Linked DNA regions of Mytilus edulis. The protein of the gene in region 2 interacts with the protein of the main gene of each other region in a pairwise test. Links are inferred from orthologs where the notes say so. Each region holds a gene or a part of one and is shown on either strand. Other genes may lie near its edges.

Region 1 (7,665 bases), on a different chromosome or scaffold from region 2:
TTTTTTAGAGGTCGACTTGAACATGTACACATGTAGCAAGAGGTAGAATCTATATAAGGGGGTGCTATGCCAGTGCTTTGTGGGAAAACTTTAGTTGATTTATTGAGGGAAACAGTACTGAAGCGTCCATCTCTAAAGAAGTCATGCAGTGCCCTCCCTATCTCATCCCCCTTATGAAACTTCTGGATATTCATGTCTTATTCTTACAACTTTTAGGGAAACAACTTTCCCAGGTAAAAAAAAGGGGAAGCTGAGCGCTCACATGTTAAAATTGGCAAATTTGGTTGATTATATAGGAATTACTGAACCTTGGCTGGAACCCCCTCCCCCTTTATGAAAATATCTTAATCCGCCACTAGACTGTTTAAATAAATACTGTAACAGGGTAATTTATGAAGATCTTTTTTTAAGATACTTCAGATACTTTTATTTCACTAATACATAGGCGTAGCAGGCCCATAAATAATGGTACGTTTTTTGGCAAATTAGACATATGGGACACGGAAGTGTTCCGCCAGCGTCTTACTGCAGAGGGTATGGGAGCCGCTCAAGGCCCCCAGAAGCTCTGGGGTTCATAGCGTTAAAATCCTGCATTCTAGTCGTTTCCTGCCACTAAAAATCGTTTCTGAAAAGCAGCATTTTTTACTCGACAATTTGAAAAAAATCAAGTATATTAATGTCTGTGTCTTGCAGGTTTTGTAGTTTGTTTCCATTTTTGTGTCATTTACAAAGCATGCAATTATTGCGCAAAATTCATTATAAAAAAAAATAAAAGGCCAGAGGTTCCTTGCTACAAGTTAGGACAGGCGCAAAATTGCTGTAATGTAAACTTTTAAGATAACCACTTCGTCAGTAGGGGGTCGTCTTGGCCTTGTAAGTTATTTTTTTTTGAAAATCATGCAGCGACTGTCAAGATGAAGTACTTAAATAAATCACTATGTTCTTGCAATAATTTGCATCTTGTCTATTTGTCAAGAGTGTTCAAATTGGAAAAATGAATGTTACTAGTACTAAGGAAATGACATATTTCATTGATCTTCAATCAATCACATGCATGGCGACAATTTGTTTTTCAAGGGAACGAGTTCAATTCAACCACTATAAAGAACCCTTAGTTCATATAAACTTTAAAATCAGTAATTGTGATATAAATGTAACGCTAAACGGGTCTTTGTTCTGTGTATTTTGGACAGTCATTATTTTGGATATATGTATCTGGGATCTAATCCTTCTTGCCCGTTTACATAAGGAAATAGCTATTAAATATTTCACCATATATATATAGACTCACTACCGTCTATATACTAGTAACGAAGTCTGTTTAATGTTCACATGTTTAATCATATAAAAGTACATGTATATATATGATATATTTAAAAGGTTCACAGCCCAGGTTCACAGTTATAAATTCCAATACAAAACGTTACTTAGTTCCAACTCTATAAAACAACATGTTACTTCATTATAATCTATATCGCAACTTAATTGTTACTTCAAGCTACTACACCAATATAAGTGATCAATGCAAAGTTTCTTACAAAATCGTGCTATGAACCGCTGTCCTTAAATTACATTAAACCTTGCTTTGATAAACGTCCAAATGTTATTACAATTCTACTATGCAACTAATGTACCGTACATGCAAACTGTCACATTTAATATTAATCAAGATGAAAGATCATTCAACAAATTAAGTATAATTGACCATCAAATCTTTGATGTAGTTGACCACGCCACATCAATGTTAAATTTGTGAAGTGTAAAATATTTACTCGCCTATGTATATGTATATAATATGTAGTTTCCATTTCTCGTTTCAGCATTTTATTTTTCAAACATTGGCTATACCTTTCATGTAACTATTTATGTGTTGCTTATGAATTTAATTGTAACACTTCTTAGTGACTGGTTAGGTTAAACCAATGCCTTCCTAGAAAACTATGACACCAATGAACAACACCAGTCTTTTTGCTGTTCCTGCTAATAATGTATGCATGGCTTCACTAGAAAAGGCATCAATTCTTTGGCTTTCCTGGTTGAAGGATTTGTTTTTACAACTCCAGTGTATACACAATTGTTACCATAGTATATAGTTGGTTGACCGTTATGGAATAACCGTTTCATAGATGATATGGGATATGTTTCTCACGTCATAACTACAATCCTCTTCCCTTTTCATGAATTTGACTTACTGTATAAAGCTAGTTAAATCGGGTTTGTAAAAACATGAGCAACCCGACGGTGCCACTGTTGGACATTTGGAGCAGTATCTGCTTACCCTTCTGGAGCACCTGAGATCATCCCCAGTTTTTGGTTAGGGTTCGTGTTAATTGCTCAGACTGTGTTTGTTTTCTATGCTGTTTCTTGTGTACTTTAATTTGTATATTTCATGTCGTGGTGTTATCAGTTTATTTTCGATTTATGAGTTTGCCTGTTCCTCTGGTATCTTTCGCCCCTCTTGAAGTCTATAACTTAGAGAATGATGAAAAATGATAGTTTTGCAATTCAAAATATGAATACAATATAAGGCTGGTTAGAATGCAAACCAATCAGCTTGCTTAATATCTAATAAGTGCCACCAAATATGCAGACATTTAAGACTGGGGCAAACCATACACAATAACACAAGCTTACTAAAAAACAGCTTGGTTTCACAATACTAGAATGTATGTAAAACTGCAATTCAATAAAACATAGATTGGTATACAAGCAATTAAAGCTTGTATGTATCCATGCAAGAAAAATAAGCTTTCACCGTACACCAGTGTTGCATGCAAGAATACCGTGAACTGAAAATGTCAAACAAATATGCAAACTTTTATGTTCCAAAGGGTATAGGATTATACGTTGGTATACCGACAATCAAACCCATGAATTCCATTGTTTTACAAGGGTTTATTGAAAAGCGGGTTAGTATACGGGAATTAACCCCTGAGTGTTGCAGTTAAGAATTAAGAGCTTTCTTTCAAATTCAAATGAAGTTGAAGGCTATACATAAGTAATTCAACCTTTTCATTTCACAATCATACACATCTCCTTATTTTCTAAGGGAGGTATGCAAACATAATTAAATAAGAAATGTTACTACTCAGTAAATACTTAGCATTCAGGCATACAGACTTGCCAATACAAACATGAATCCAGAATAAAATTTTAGAATCCATGAAGGCATACAAGTACCTAGCAGAAAAAAAGCCAAAATAAATTAAAAAAAAAATCGGTTTACATATCCCAGGTTCGTATACAGGCATACAGACCTTAACTATGCCAAAATAAATATATTAAAGGTTCTAAATACACCAGATTTGTATGCAGGAATACAGACCTGACAAATACTTATATACGCAGAAAGTGAGAGTTTAACATACACCAGGTCGGTATGCTAGCATACAGACCTGACAAATACTTGTATGTACATAGAGTGAGTTTTTAACATACACCAGGTCAGTATGCTAGCAAACAGACCTGACAAATACTAGTATATATGCATAGAGTGAGAGTTTTGCATTAACCAGGTCGGTATGCTAGCATACAGACCTGAAAAATGCTAGTATATGCATAGAGTGAAAGTTTAGCATTAACCATGTCGGTATGCTAGCATACAGACCTGAAAAATACTAGTATATGCATAGAGTGAGAGTTTAACATACACCAGGTCGGTATGCTAGCATACAGACCTGACAAATACTAGGATGTGCATAGAGTGAGAGTTAAGAATTAACAGGTCGGTATGCTAGCATACAGACATGAAAAATGCTAGTATATATGCATAGAGTGAGAGTTTAGCATTTACCAGGTCGGTATGCTAGCATACAGACCTGAAAAATACTTGAATATGCATAGAGTGAGAGTTTAGCATTAACCAGGTCGGTATGCTGGCATACAGACCTGACAAATTCTAGTATACACATACAGTGAGGTTTTAGCATACACCAGGGTGGTATGCAGGCATACAGACCTGACAAATACAAGTAAGAGAAAAAAGACTTAATTTAGCATTCTTTTCATTGAAACATCTGAAATAAAGATGGGTAAATGCTATGTTATGTATATATTTCAAAAATGACATAAAAGTATAACAAAAATGCAGAATGAGTATCTTTTTAAGGTTTATTTACTTGAACTATTTCCTTGGTGTTAAAATAGTTCATTCTAGCATCCTATGAAAAAGGTTTATGATAAAATGATGAAATTTTGGTTCGCATTTACAAAGAAAGATCACAAATCTTGCCAAAAGATGACAAACAAATATTGTTAATGCTATACAGTGAGTTTTTAACGCGAAATATATCAATAATCCCAAATGTTGTAGCCTTTTCACACAAAAATAAGTTAAGTGGCATATGAGAATTTCTAATTTTAGATGAGAACGTGTTCAAATGATGAATACTTTTAGCTAAAGATGAATATTGGATGGGGGTTCTGTGTATTTACATTATTTGTACAACTCTCCTTACTGATGCCATATTTTGGAATTTCCGTGACCTAAATGGTTCGCGAAAATTAATATTTTTTATATATAGTATAGTAATAGTGGTGGGCCGAGTTTGTTATAGTCCGAGTTAGCTTTAGGCCGAGTTATTCAGCGGCGTATCCTAATACCAAATAACGACTATGATTTTCTCTGAACCTTGGGTTTTACGTCATAACCAGCTGATGACAGATTGAAAAGTGTTCGCAGTTAGATACACACAATATTAGTGGTAACATGCCTGAAAGGCAGTATAATACGGCCGAGGGGGCTAAAACATTCAAACAGAGAAAGAGTTTTTGTAAGTACACGATACAGCAAAATATAAAAATGCCAATACAGTAATCGAGTAATGACAAAGTTTTCCCAAGTTATGACAGGTACATTACAGTTCATCATAACAAACGGACAAATATGGCTGTATTTACATGTCAAAAACCTGGGTACAGACTTACCTGTGAAGTTGGAAATGTTTTCATGCATGGCATCCACTAGATATATTAAATTTAAATGCATAATTTTTGTGTTTCAGAAAGATCTCTTTTGGATTTTGATGGGCATTTTTTTCCCTTCATGCATGAGGTGTGAAAATTAACTATTAAAGTTGTGGTACAAGTTTGAGTAGCTGTGCCGCAAATAGTCAAAAAATAACATAAGGACCTAAGAGCTACGGTTCCGCAGCTAAAGTTTGAGATGAGCCCTTCAGGTAAAAACCGGTTTGTATTGTTTTGATTGTCCTCAATTGACATGGACAAGAGGTATCTTCACACAACTACAGGTGAATTATTCAGTTAAAGAGTTTATCTGAGTCAGTGAGTGGACAGTATCAAAGCTGAGACTACTATAACACATAGTAGTCTCAGATCAAAGTTAATAAATTCAGGTGTTTGTTTATTTTTACACCTTCTGCAGAAAAAAAAACCCCATCAAAAACCAATGCATTTAACTTTTATATATTTAGTGGATGCTAGGCCTTAAAACTTTCCAAACAGCACAGGTAAGTCTGTACACGGAGAAGTTTTTGAGGTGAAAATTCTGCCATATTTGTCCATTTGTTATGATGAACCTTAAAGAGTAGGGGAAAAACTAAGAGAAGACATGGTTATCGATTATTTGGCCATTTTCAAATATATAAATCTTGAGTTTCATTTCAAGGAATGTTAACACCATCAAGACAGTGTCTATTCAGAGACATGTATTTATGTCTCTGGTCTATTCTATTCTTTCCATTGCCAATATTTTATTAGTATTGACAGAAATCAAGTGCCTGTGCTGTGACCTAATACATGCCTAATGTAAAAATAGGATAGGTATTAAGGACCCAAATAGGACCTACATGTACTGAAAAATAAATGAAAATGTGCAAAAAAGTTATATATAAATACATGTGTGATACATGTCATTAAGAATGTAAACTCAATGTCATATGACTATCCCAAATTCTACCAATCATGCCAATAAAAATCATAGGAGGTCAGTAAAATGAAAGTCAAATATCAGCATCTTAAACGAAGTTGGAATGAATTTTACAAGTTTCTTTAAACTTTGAGTACATATTGTATCTCAAAAAGTCAGCAGTTTAATATATGTTTTTGAATTAACAGTTTTAAAAAGTTTGTTTAAGCAAAACTAATGTTAAAGCATTTGCTCAGACTTATTTATTTGATAGACAAATTCAACACTATTATGCCATTGTGACGGGCTTTGCCAAAGATTTTGTTGAATTTATGATAATGGTCTCACAAAATATTAGTACATTGTAATTTGTACTAAAAAAAATACTAAAGCATAAAGACATCATTACCTCAAAATGGACTGGTGAGGGTCTGGATGGTATGCAGAATAGAGAATAATGTGCAGAACTTAATTATTGGAATTCAGCTGCATATACATTTTCTCCAGACAAATGCTCTAGAATGGGATAAACTGAAAAAAGATACACGTCAACCACAAATCCTGATCATGTTCACATATTCTGAATAGAAACAGCTACAAAACATTTATGGGTATCCCGGTAAACATACGATCAGACCTCAAATAGAATACCGGTAACAATGAAGATAATATCAGATTGAATGAAAGATGACAGCTGAATATTCTAAAGCAATGTTTCCTATCCATGATTCCTGGTAAGGTTTGTTCATAGAAAAGGATGGATTTATGGCCTCCCATAGAATAATATTTGAAGGTTCAATAACTTTCTTATCATATTGATCATTACATAATAAAGTGGAGGGAGTGAACCTAGTTCCAAGAAAGATACAAGCTTGTCGTTGCTCTAAAGCTCACAAACCAAAAACACTGTAATTTTGTTCATTAGTCATGTTAATCAGTACAGTGTATGTGTTTTCATAACTTTAGTTTAAGTGAATAGAAATCTATGAAATTTAGACACAAGGTTTATGACCACAAAAGGAAGGTTGGGATTGATTTTGGGAGTTTTAGTTCAAACAGTTTAGGAATTAGGGGCCAAAAAAAGGCCAAAATAAGCATTATTCTTGGTTTTCGCACAATAACTTTAGTATAAATAAATAGAAATCAATGAAATTTAAACACAAGGTTTATGACCATATAAGGAAGGTTGGGATTGATTTTGAGAGTTGAGGTCTGAACAGTTTAGGAATTAGGGGCCAAAAAGGGGCCCAAGTAAGCATTATTCTTGGTTTTCGCACCATAACTTTAGTACATGTATAAGTAAATAGAAATCTTTGAAATTTAAACACAAGGTTTTTGATCATAAAAGGAAGGTTGGGTTTGATTTTGGTAGTTTTGGTCCCAACTGGTTTTTAGGGATAAGGGGTGCAAAGGGTCCAAAATTGAACTTTGTTTGATTTCATCAAAAATTGAATAATTGGGGTTCTTTGATATGCCGGATCTAACTGTGTATGTAGATTCTTAATTTTTGGTTCTGTTTTCCAATTGGTCTACATTAAGGTCCAAAGGGTTCAAAATTAAACTTAGTTTGATTTTAACAAAAATTGAATCCTTGGGGTTCTTTGATATGCTGAATCTAAAAATGTACTTAGATTTTTGATTATTGGCCCAGTTTTCAAGTTGGTCCAAATCGGGGTCCAAAATTAAACTTTAGTATAAGTAAATAGAAATCTTTGAAATTTAAACACAAGGTTTATGACCATAAAAGGAAGGTTGGGTTTGATTTTGGTAGTTTTGGTCCCAACAGGTTTTTAGGAATA
Region 2 (8,002 bases):
TATAACATTTGTGTTTAATCACTAAATCCTCTATAAAATTCAGACCAGTATTTTATATTACCCAGTATTGCACAGTATTACCCACTAAAACCCAGTAAAACCCGGGTTTTTCCAGTATTTACCACTGGGCTGGGCAAAACTCATAAAACCCGGGTTTTTGCCAACCCTTCATGTGCTTCAACGAAAACAGTGAAGAATGTGATAAGCTTATAAGAGAACTGTGCTTGAGCTTTTATACAAGTGATTTAACAAATTTTGTCTGAAGCAAAATAACAAAGGCGACCATGTGCTTCAACGAAAACAATGAAGAATGTGATAAGATACTGATAGAACTGTGCTTGCGCTTTTATGCAAGTGATTAAACAAATGTGATTGGGTGATAAATCAAGTTTGGTCTAGTGCAAAATGATAAAGGCGGCTATGTGCTTCACAAAACAAGGAAGTATGTGAGTAGAAAAAGGAGAAAAGTGCTGGTGCTTTCATGCAAGTGATTAAACAAATGTGATCGGGTAATAAAAATAAATTTGGTCTGGTGCAAAATAACAAAGGCGACCATGTGCTTCAACGAAAACAAGGAAGAATGTAATAAGATATTGAGAGAACTGTGAAGGTGCTATCAAACAAGTGATTTTTAACAAATGTGATTGGGTGATTAAACAAGTTTGGTCTAGTGCAAAATAACAAAGGCGACCCCTTGCTTCAACGAAAACAATGAAGAATGAAGCATGTTATAAGAGAACTGTGCTTGAGCTTTTATACACGTGATTTAACAAATTTGGTCTGGTGCAAAATAACAAAGGCGACCATGTGCTTCAACGAAAACAAGGAAGAATTTGATAAGATATTTAGAGAACTGTGCTATCATACAAGTGATTAAACAAATGTGATTGGGTGATTAAACAAATTTGGTCTAGTGCAAAATAACAAAGGCGACCATGTGCTTCAACGAAAATAATGAAGAATGTGATAAGATTATAAGAGACCCGTTCTTGTGCAATCATGCGGGTGACTAAAAAATGAGATCGGGAAATAAAACAAATTTGGTCATGTGCAAAATAACAAAGGTGACCATGTGATTCAAAAAAAACAATGAAGAATGTGATAAGATTATAAGAGAACTGTGCTTGTGCTATCATTTAAGTGATTAATCAAATTTGGTGTAGTGCAAAATAACAAAGGCGACCATGTGTTTCAACGAAAACAATGAAGAATGTGATAAGAAATTGAGAGAACTGTGAATGTGTTATCATACAAGTGATTAAACAAATGTAATGCGGTGATTAAACAAATTTGGTCTAGTGCAAAATAACAAAGGCGACCATGTGATTCAATAAAAACAAGGAGGAACGTGATAAGACAAAAGGGAGAAATGTGCTCATGCCATTTTGCGATTTTTTTTTTAACAAATGTGATTGGGTAATTACCAAATTTGGTCTGGTGCAAAATACCAAAGGAGACCATCGTGATATCGTGCAAGTGATTAAACAAATGTAATTGGGTAATAAAACAAATTTGGTCTGGTGCAAAATAACAAAGGCGACCATCGTGATATCGTGCAAGTGATTTAACAAATGTGATCGGGTAATAAAACAAATTTGGTCTTGTGCAAAATAACAAAGGCGACCATCGTGATATCGTGCAAGTGATTAAACAAATCTGATCGGTAATAAAACAAATTTGGTCATGTGCAAAATAACAAAGGCGACCATCGTGATATCGTGCAAGTGATTTAACAAATGTGATTGGGTGATAAAACAAATTTGGTCTGGTGCAAAATAACAAAGGCGACCATCGTGATATCGTGCAAGTGATTAAACAAATCTGATCGGTAATAAAACAAGTTTGGTCATGTGCAAAATAACAAAGGCGACCATCGTGATATCGTGCAAGTGATTTAACAAATGTGATTGGGTGATAAAACAAATGTGGTCTTGTGCAAAATAACAAAGGCGACCATCGTGATATCGTGCAAGTGATTAAACAAATCTGATTGGTAATAAAACAAATTTGGTCATGTGCAAAATAACAAAGGCGACCATCGTGATATCGTGCAAGTGATTTAACAAATGTGATCGGGTAATAAAACAAATTTGGTCATGTGCAAAATAACAAAGGCGACCATCGTGATATCGTGCAAGTGATTTAACAAATGTGATTGGGTAATAAAACAAATTTGGTCATGTGCAAAATAACAAAGGCGACCATCGTGATATCGTGCAAGTGATTAAACAAATGTGATTGGGTAATAAAATAAATTTGGTCTGGTGCAAAATAACAAAGGCGATCATCGTGATATATCGTGCAAGTGATTAAACAAATGTGTTGGGTAATAAACAAATTTGGTCATGTGCAAAATAACAAAGGCGACCATCGTGATATATCGTGCAAGTGATTAAACAATTGTGATTGGGTAATAAAACAAATTTGGTCATGTGCAAAATAACAAAGGCGACCATCGTGATATCGTGCAAGTGATTAAACAAATGTGATCGGGTAACAAAACAAATTTGGTCATGTGCAAAATAACAAAGGCGACCATCGTGATATCGTGCAAGTGATTAAACAAATCTGATCGGTAATAAAACAAATTTGGTCATGTGCAAAATAACAAAGGCGACCATCGTGATATCGTGCAAGTGATTTAACAAATCTGATCGGTAATAAAACAAATTTGGTAATGTGCAAAATAACAAAGGCGACCATCGTGATATCGTGCAAGTAATTTAACAAATGTGATTGGGTGATAAAACAAATTTGGTCTGGTGCAAAATAACAAAGGCGACCATCGTGATATCGTGCAAGGGATTAAACAAATCTGATCGGTAATAAAGCAAATTGGGTCATGTGCAAAATAACAAAGGCGACCATCGTGATATCGTACAAGTGATTTAACAAATGTGATCGGTAATAAAACAAATTGGGTCATGTGCAAAATAACAAAGGCGACCATCGTGATATCGTACAAGTGATTTAACAAATGTGATCGGGTAACAAAACAAATTTGGTCATGTGCAAAATAACAAAGGCGACCATCGTGATATCGTGCAAGTGATTAAACAAATGTGTCGGGTAATAAAACAAATTTGGTCATGTGCAAAATAACAAAGGCGACCATCGTGATATCGTGCAAGTGATTTAACAAATGTGATCGGGTAACAAAACAAATTTGGTCATGTGCAAAATAACAAAGGCGACCATCGTGATATCGTGCAAGTGATTAAACAAATGTGATTGGTTTGGTGCAAAATAACAAAGGTTTCCATGTACTGCAAAGAAAACAATTAAGAATGTTATAAGACAAAAGGAGAAATGTGTTATCGTGCAAGTAATTAAACAAATGTGATAGGATTACGGCAGCAACAGTTTTAATTTCAGTTGTGAAGGTCAAAGTGAATTTTTGTATGCGCCGACGAACATTTATTTTCAATCAGTTGGAAACTAAAGACAAACGTGTCTTTCTTATTTTACATGTTATGTGTTGTATTATTATATATAAACAATTAAGGGCATAATAAACAATTCTAGAAAGTAACTAATATGCAAAAACATTAGTGGTGTAGAATTTTTTTCATTTGTTTACTGTACGCAGAAAATTAATGGGACTATATTTATTTTATTATCAAGAAAGTATATATAACTGTTTGGGGGGGGGGGAGTGTTGTAGCAACCCCATAGCTGATTTTTTTTCAACAATTCTTGTGACATCATGTCAGTTCTATTAGCTAGGTACCTATACCTACTGTATACCGCCAACTTGAAATGTATAATATTAGCGGTACAAAATCGGGCTAGTGCTTTGCTTAAATCTGCAAATTCAACAGTTTATTTTGTTGTTGTCAAATTTATTTGCCCTGAAAAAAAGAAAAAAGAATATATTAAATATTTTTAAAAGAATAACAATTCACAAATAAAAAAAAGTCATATGAAATGTGAGAAAATTACATGGGTGCTGAGAGATGATGGGAATTTTGAAGAAAGATATATATGAGAAATTTATTGCATTGTTGAAACTGTTTTAGAAAAAAAAATATTGTTTTGTGTTCGAATCAATTTTTCAACATGCTGGCCATTTTTATGTGGAGATAAATCTAACATTTCTACTGAATGGTAAAATAAAGATAAGGAATTTAAAGATTTTTTTTTTACTTTTTCTTTTTCTTTACTAGATAAAGGTTTCGTTAAACTGTCTTTTATTTTTGTTTCCTTAAAGAATGTTATATATAGCCAGAAGTCCATTACTAGACGTCTAGTAGATAAAAATAGCCTATTTTCTCAGATTTTTCTTTTTTTCTTTTTCTTTTACTTAATTCACAAAAGTGGTAGCTTGAAAAATAGCCAATGCAGTAATGTGAAGTTTTTGATATATTATTTTTAAGTTGGTATGCTTAATTCTACAGATCGTCAATTATTTAAAATAATAAGACCAATGTATGTACTGAGATTCCGCCAATTAAGACGCACCCCTTGATTGACTGCAAGGGTACAGCGGATCCATGTACACTCCCTAAGGATTAATGGAGATGTGTCCTTTACAATATTATCCCACCACCAGAACAATCCCCACCCAACACCGCCCAAGGAAGCGTGTAGGACACCGGGAAGTCTGTTATTATGGTGGAGGAAGCCGAAGTACTCGGAGAGAACCACCGGGCCACTCGGTGGAAACAGACAAACCAGAGAGATATCAGAAGATTGATCTCCAGGTCAAAGTAGGGGACAACTTTGACCAACCGAGGCCCCCAAAGTACCCATTCTAGTTTAAACTCCGGTCTGGGTACCAGAGATGTGTGTGAGAGGGTGAAAATTACCCTTCTGATGTACTGATATTTTTAGCACCCCGAGTGAGAATCGAACTCGGGACCTTCAGCACTGTAGCCATCGGTCTTAACCACTAGACCACGAACTCACATGAATTTGTACGGGAAAATTGAATTATCTCCCTTTATAGCAAATCTTCGAATCATTAAGCACGTGACCATAATTTCCTAAAATAGACATTTTCGTCACAACAAAAACATTATTTGTCATTCTAGAAAACACGTATATTGTCTACTTTCGCGACAAAGGTAATTATAACTGATTCTAACAAAACAGAAGAACACAACGTAATGTAAGTCGGGTTTTATAACACGAAAGTAGAATGGTCAGTAAGTTGTTCGTCTTTTTTCTGTCATTTATGTGATGGAAAAAAAATGTGTTGTCTGTTGACACATTGACCTATTTGTTGCCAGCTGTTCAGCCATTTGTAGAAAAAGTAAACATTCCATTTCAATGAAATTTATTTTCATAAGCAAGAGAAAAACAATAAGATCATATGTGTTGCAACAGTAGGCTGTATGACTTTTGCCATCAAAGTCATGCAATTTGGAACAAATTAAGATTGTGGAAATAGTTTACCATAAACTAAATTATAAATATACTGGAAAATAATCATACAAACATTACATAATTATAAAGATAATGGTCCCTTTTAGTTTATCTTTGATTCAAATATAAGATTTTTTGACATTTTTATAGGGTACCAATACACCTTGTTCATCATTATTGCTATTTGAAAAATGTCCGAGTTCTTCTGTAAGTTTTCCAGTCTTCCATCTGAATAACAGATGACTCGAGAATCTGCCCCACTTGAAGTATTGACTTCATACAATAATCACTTCCATATAGTGGCATCAGATATTTTGTATTATGATGTCAAAATTTTACTGGAACCTTTGTGATGTCCAGTAATTAATGGTGGACAAATAGCAATAACTTAAAGGTGTATTATCGAACTGTTTCCTTTGAAGTTTACCTATTTGTATCACAAATTTACCCCTCTTGCTGTCAGTTGCTTTTTAAGGTTGCATTTTGTGTGCCAGAAAATATGACAGCTTAATGTCTTTAAAGTCACATGCCCAACAATGACATCATGCCCTAATAACCGTTACATTTTGGAGCCATTGACGAAAATATTACAGTTAAATCTTTTACATGTATATGAAAAATACACAGCAGTAATGAGAAGCCTGCATAAATTAAATCATTGACACATGTTTTCCTCCAGCACAGCCAGTGTGGACACATGTGTCCTTTCAGCAGCAAGATAGTTAAAAGCAATTGGAATCAGCATGGGTTTATAGACCTTATCCTTATTTGGGAAAACTGCAGTTGAATTTGTCATGTGACTTTTATCACCAAGTGACGAAAATGTAGGCATTGTCACTTCTAACACATTTTGAGCAAACAGATGAAAAGTTTGATTTATACTGTACAAAATATTTAGGAAATTAAAATCTAATAAGATGGTGACCCTCCCTCAGTCGTCTGGGAATCAAGATAACGTACTTACTGAAATTAAATTCTTCTATACAACCCTACAGAATGACGATTCTGAAAGTGCTGGAAACTTTAAATAGAGCAAGCATACAGACGCACCTTCTATCTGATAAATGATGTCATATACATGTAATGACTAATGGTGTGTGAAATTGGCAATCTTTTCTGGTGAAAGACATGATTCTAGTTTTTATTTTGCAAAAACTATCCTTCAAATTTCTTCAAAATAAAAACATTTCAAACATTTCTGATTAATCCTATTTAGTGAATTACACTGAGCTTTTGCATTTTTTGCTTACAGATAAATAATGAGATTTGGTATGGATGATGAGCCCGATGTAGACAAAAGTGATCAAAGTAAGTATAAAAAAGGGGTGAAAGATACCAGAGGGACATTCAAACTCATAGACCGAAAATAAACTGACAATGCCATGGCTGGCTAAAAAAGATAAAAACAAGCAAATAAATAGTACACAATACACAATATAGAAACTAAAGACTATGCAACAAGAACCATGCCAAAAGATATATTTTAAAAGAGGCCAAGAGGCTTGAGAACACTATCTCAATTCATATTGTTTACAAACACTTATAATTTCCTAAATGTACAAACATGTACCGGTACACTATCCACTTGAAATTTAAGTGCATGCATGATATGTGTATGATCTACATCTAAATCATTTGATCATATCAACTTATTATTGATTCTTGTTAATCTTTGGCCAAACAAATGTGCAGGGATGGATCCGGACATTTTCAAAAGGGGGGGAGGGGTCCCAATTTAAATGCATTGATCGTAAAAAAAAAAAGGGGGGGGTCCAACTCCTGGAACCCCTCCCCCTCTGGATCCACCACTGATGTGTATGAATAGTTTAGAGTATATCTATTGTTTGTCTTCATGAACTGATAATTACCAAACTTAAAATAAATAAAAGTGACCTTAATTCTGTTTTTATCTGTGAAAATTTCAAATTAATGTCTTCACAATGAACAGAATTAAAATAATTTAGAGTAATTTAAAAAATAAAAGAAGTTAAACCCCAACATTTAAAAGATGATTGGCAGATTTTTACCTTAAAAAGCAATGCAGTAACGCCACAATAAATATCAGTTTAATGATATGTCATCAGTTCTCAGACTGTTTGCTAATATTTGAATTCTTTACATTGTAAAATTATTAAAACTTTAAATTTACAAATATAAACAAAGGTGATACATTATCATGGTTATTGTGTAACAGTCAAATATATCTTGTCTGATAGCTTATTTTTATTTTGTTTATCAATTGACAAGATAAGTCATGTATGATTAAAATACTTCTTTATGTAATGATGTAAGGCCAAATAAAAATATATGTGTGGTTCCAGTAACCCTACCTTCCCTACTTTTTTGCCTCAAAAATAGCCTACCCTAAAGATTTTATTATCTTTTTTCATTAAGCACTGTTAAAGTCAGAATGTTGCTCCCATAGACTCAATGTAAAAAAAACCAACATAAAATAAAAAAAAATCCTCACCTACCTACCCTAACTTTTTTTCAGATGTAACTGGAACCACACAGACTTTTTTATTTTGCCTAACAAGACTTATTTCAAATTTTAAATCACTCTGGTAACCGAAAATTGTAGTATTGATTTCCTTCATAAAAATAAATACATGTATTTGTGTTTCATTTTCACACA

The links.
Region 1: the proteins of tax1-binding protein 1 homolog B-like (region 2) and microtubule-associated protein 1 light chain 3 gamma-like interact in binary tests that used the Homo sapiens proteins (3 or more experiments, as listed by UniProt). The link is inferred for Mytilus edulis from reciprocal best matches to the Homo sapiens genes TAX1BP1 and MAP1LC3C.

The regions. Positions count from the first base shown.
Region 1 is NC_092346.1:23,188,352-23,196,016, reverse strand, and holds the start of microtubule-associated protein 1 light chain 3 gamma-like, read left to right. Parts: upstream 1-4,580; 5' UTR 4,581-4,708; coding exon 4,709-4,772; intron 4,773-4,808; exon of another isoform or gene 4,809-4,823; coding exon of another isoform or gene 4,824-4,851; intron 4,852-7,665.
Region 2 is NC_092345.1:32,307,533-32,315,534, reverse strand, and holds the start of tax1-binding protein 1 homolog B-like, read left to right. Parts: upstream 1-4,958; 5' UTR 4,959-5,066; exon of another isoform or gene 5,067-5,110; intron 5,111-6,619; 5' UTR 6,620-6,626; coding exon 6,627-6,675; intron 6,676-8,002.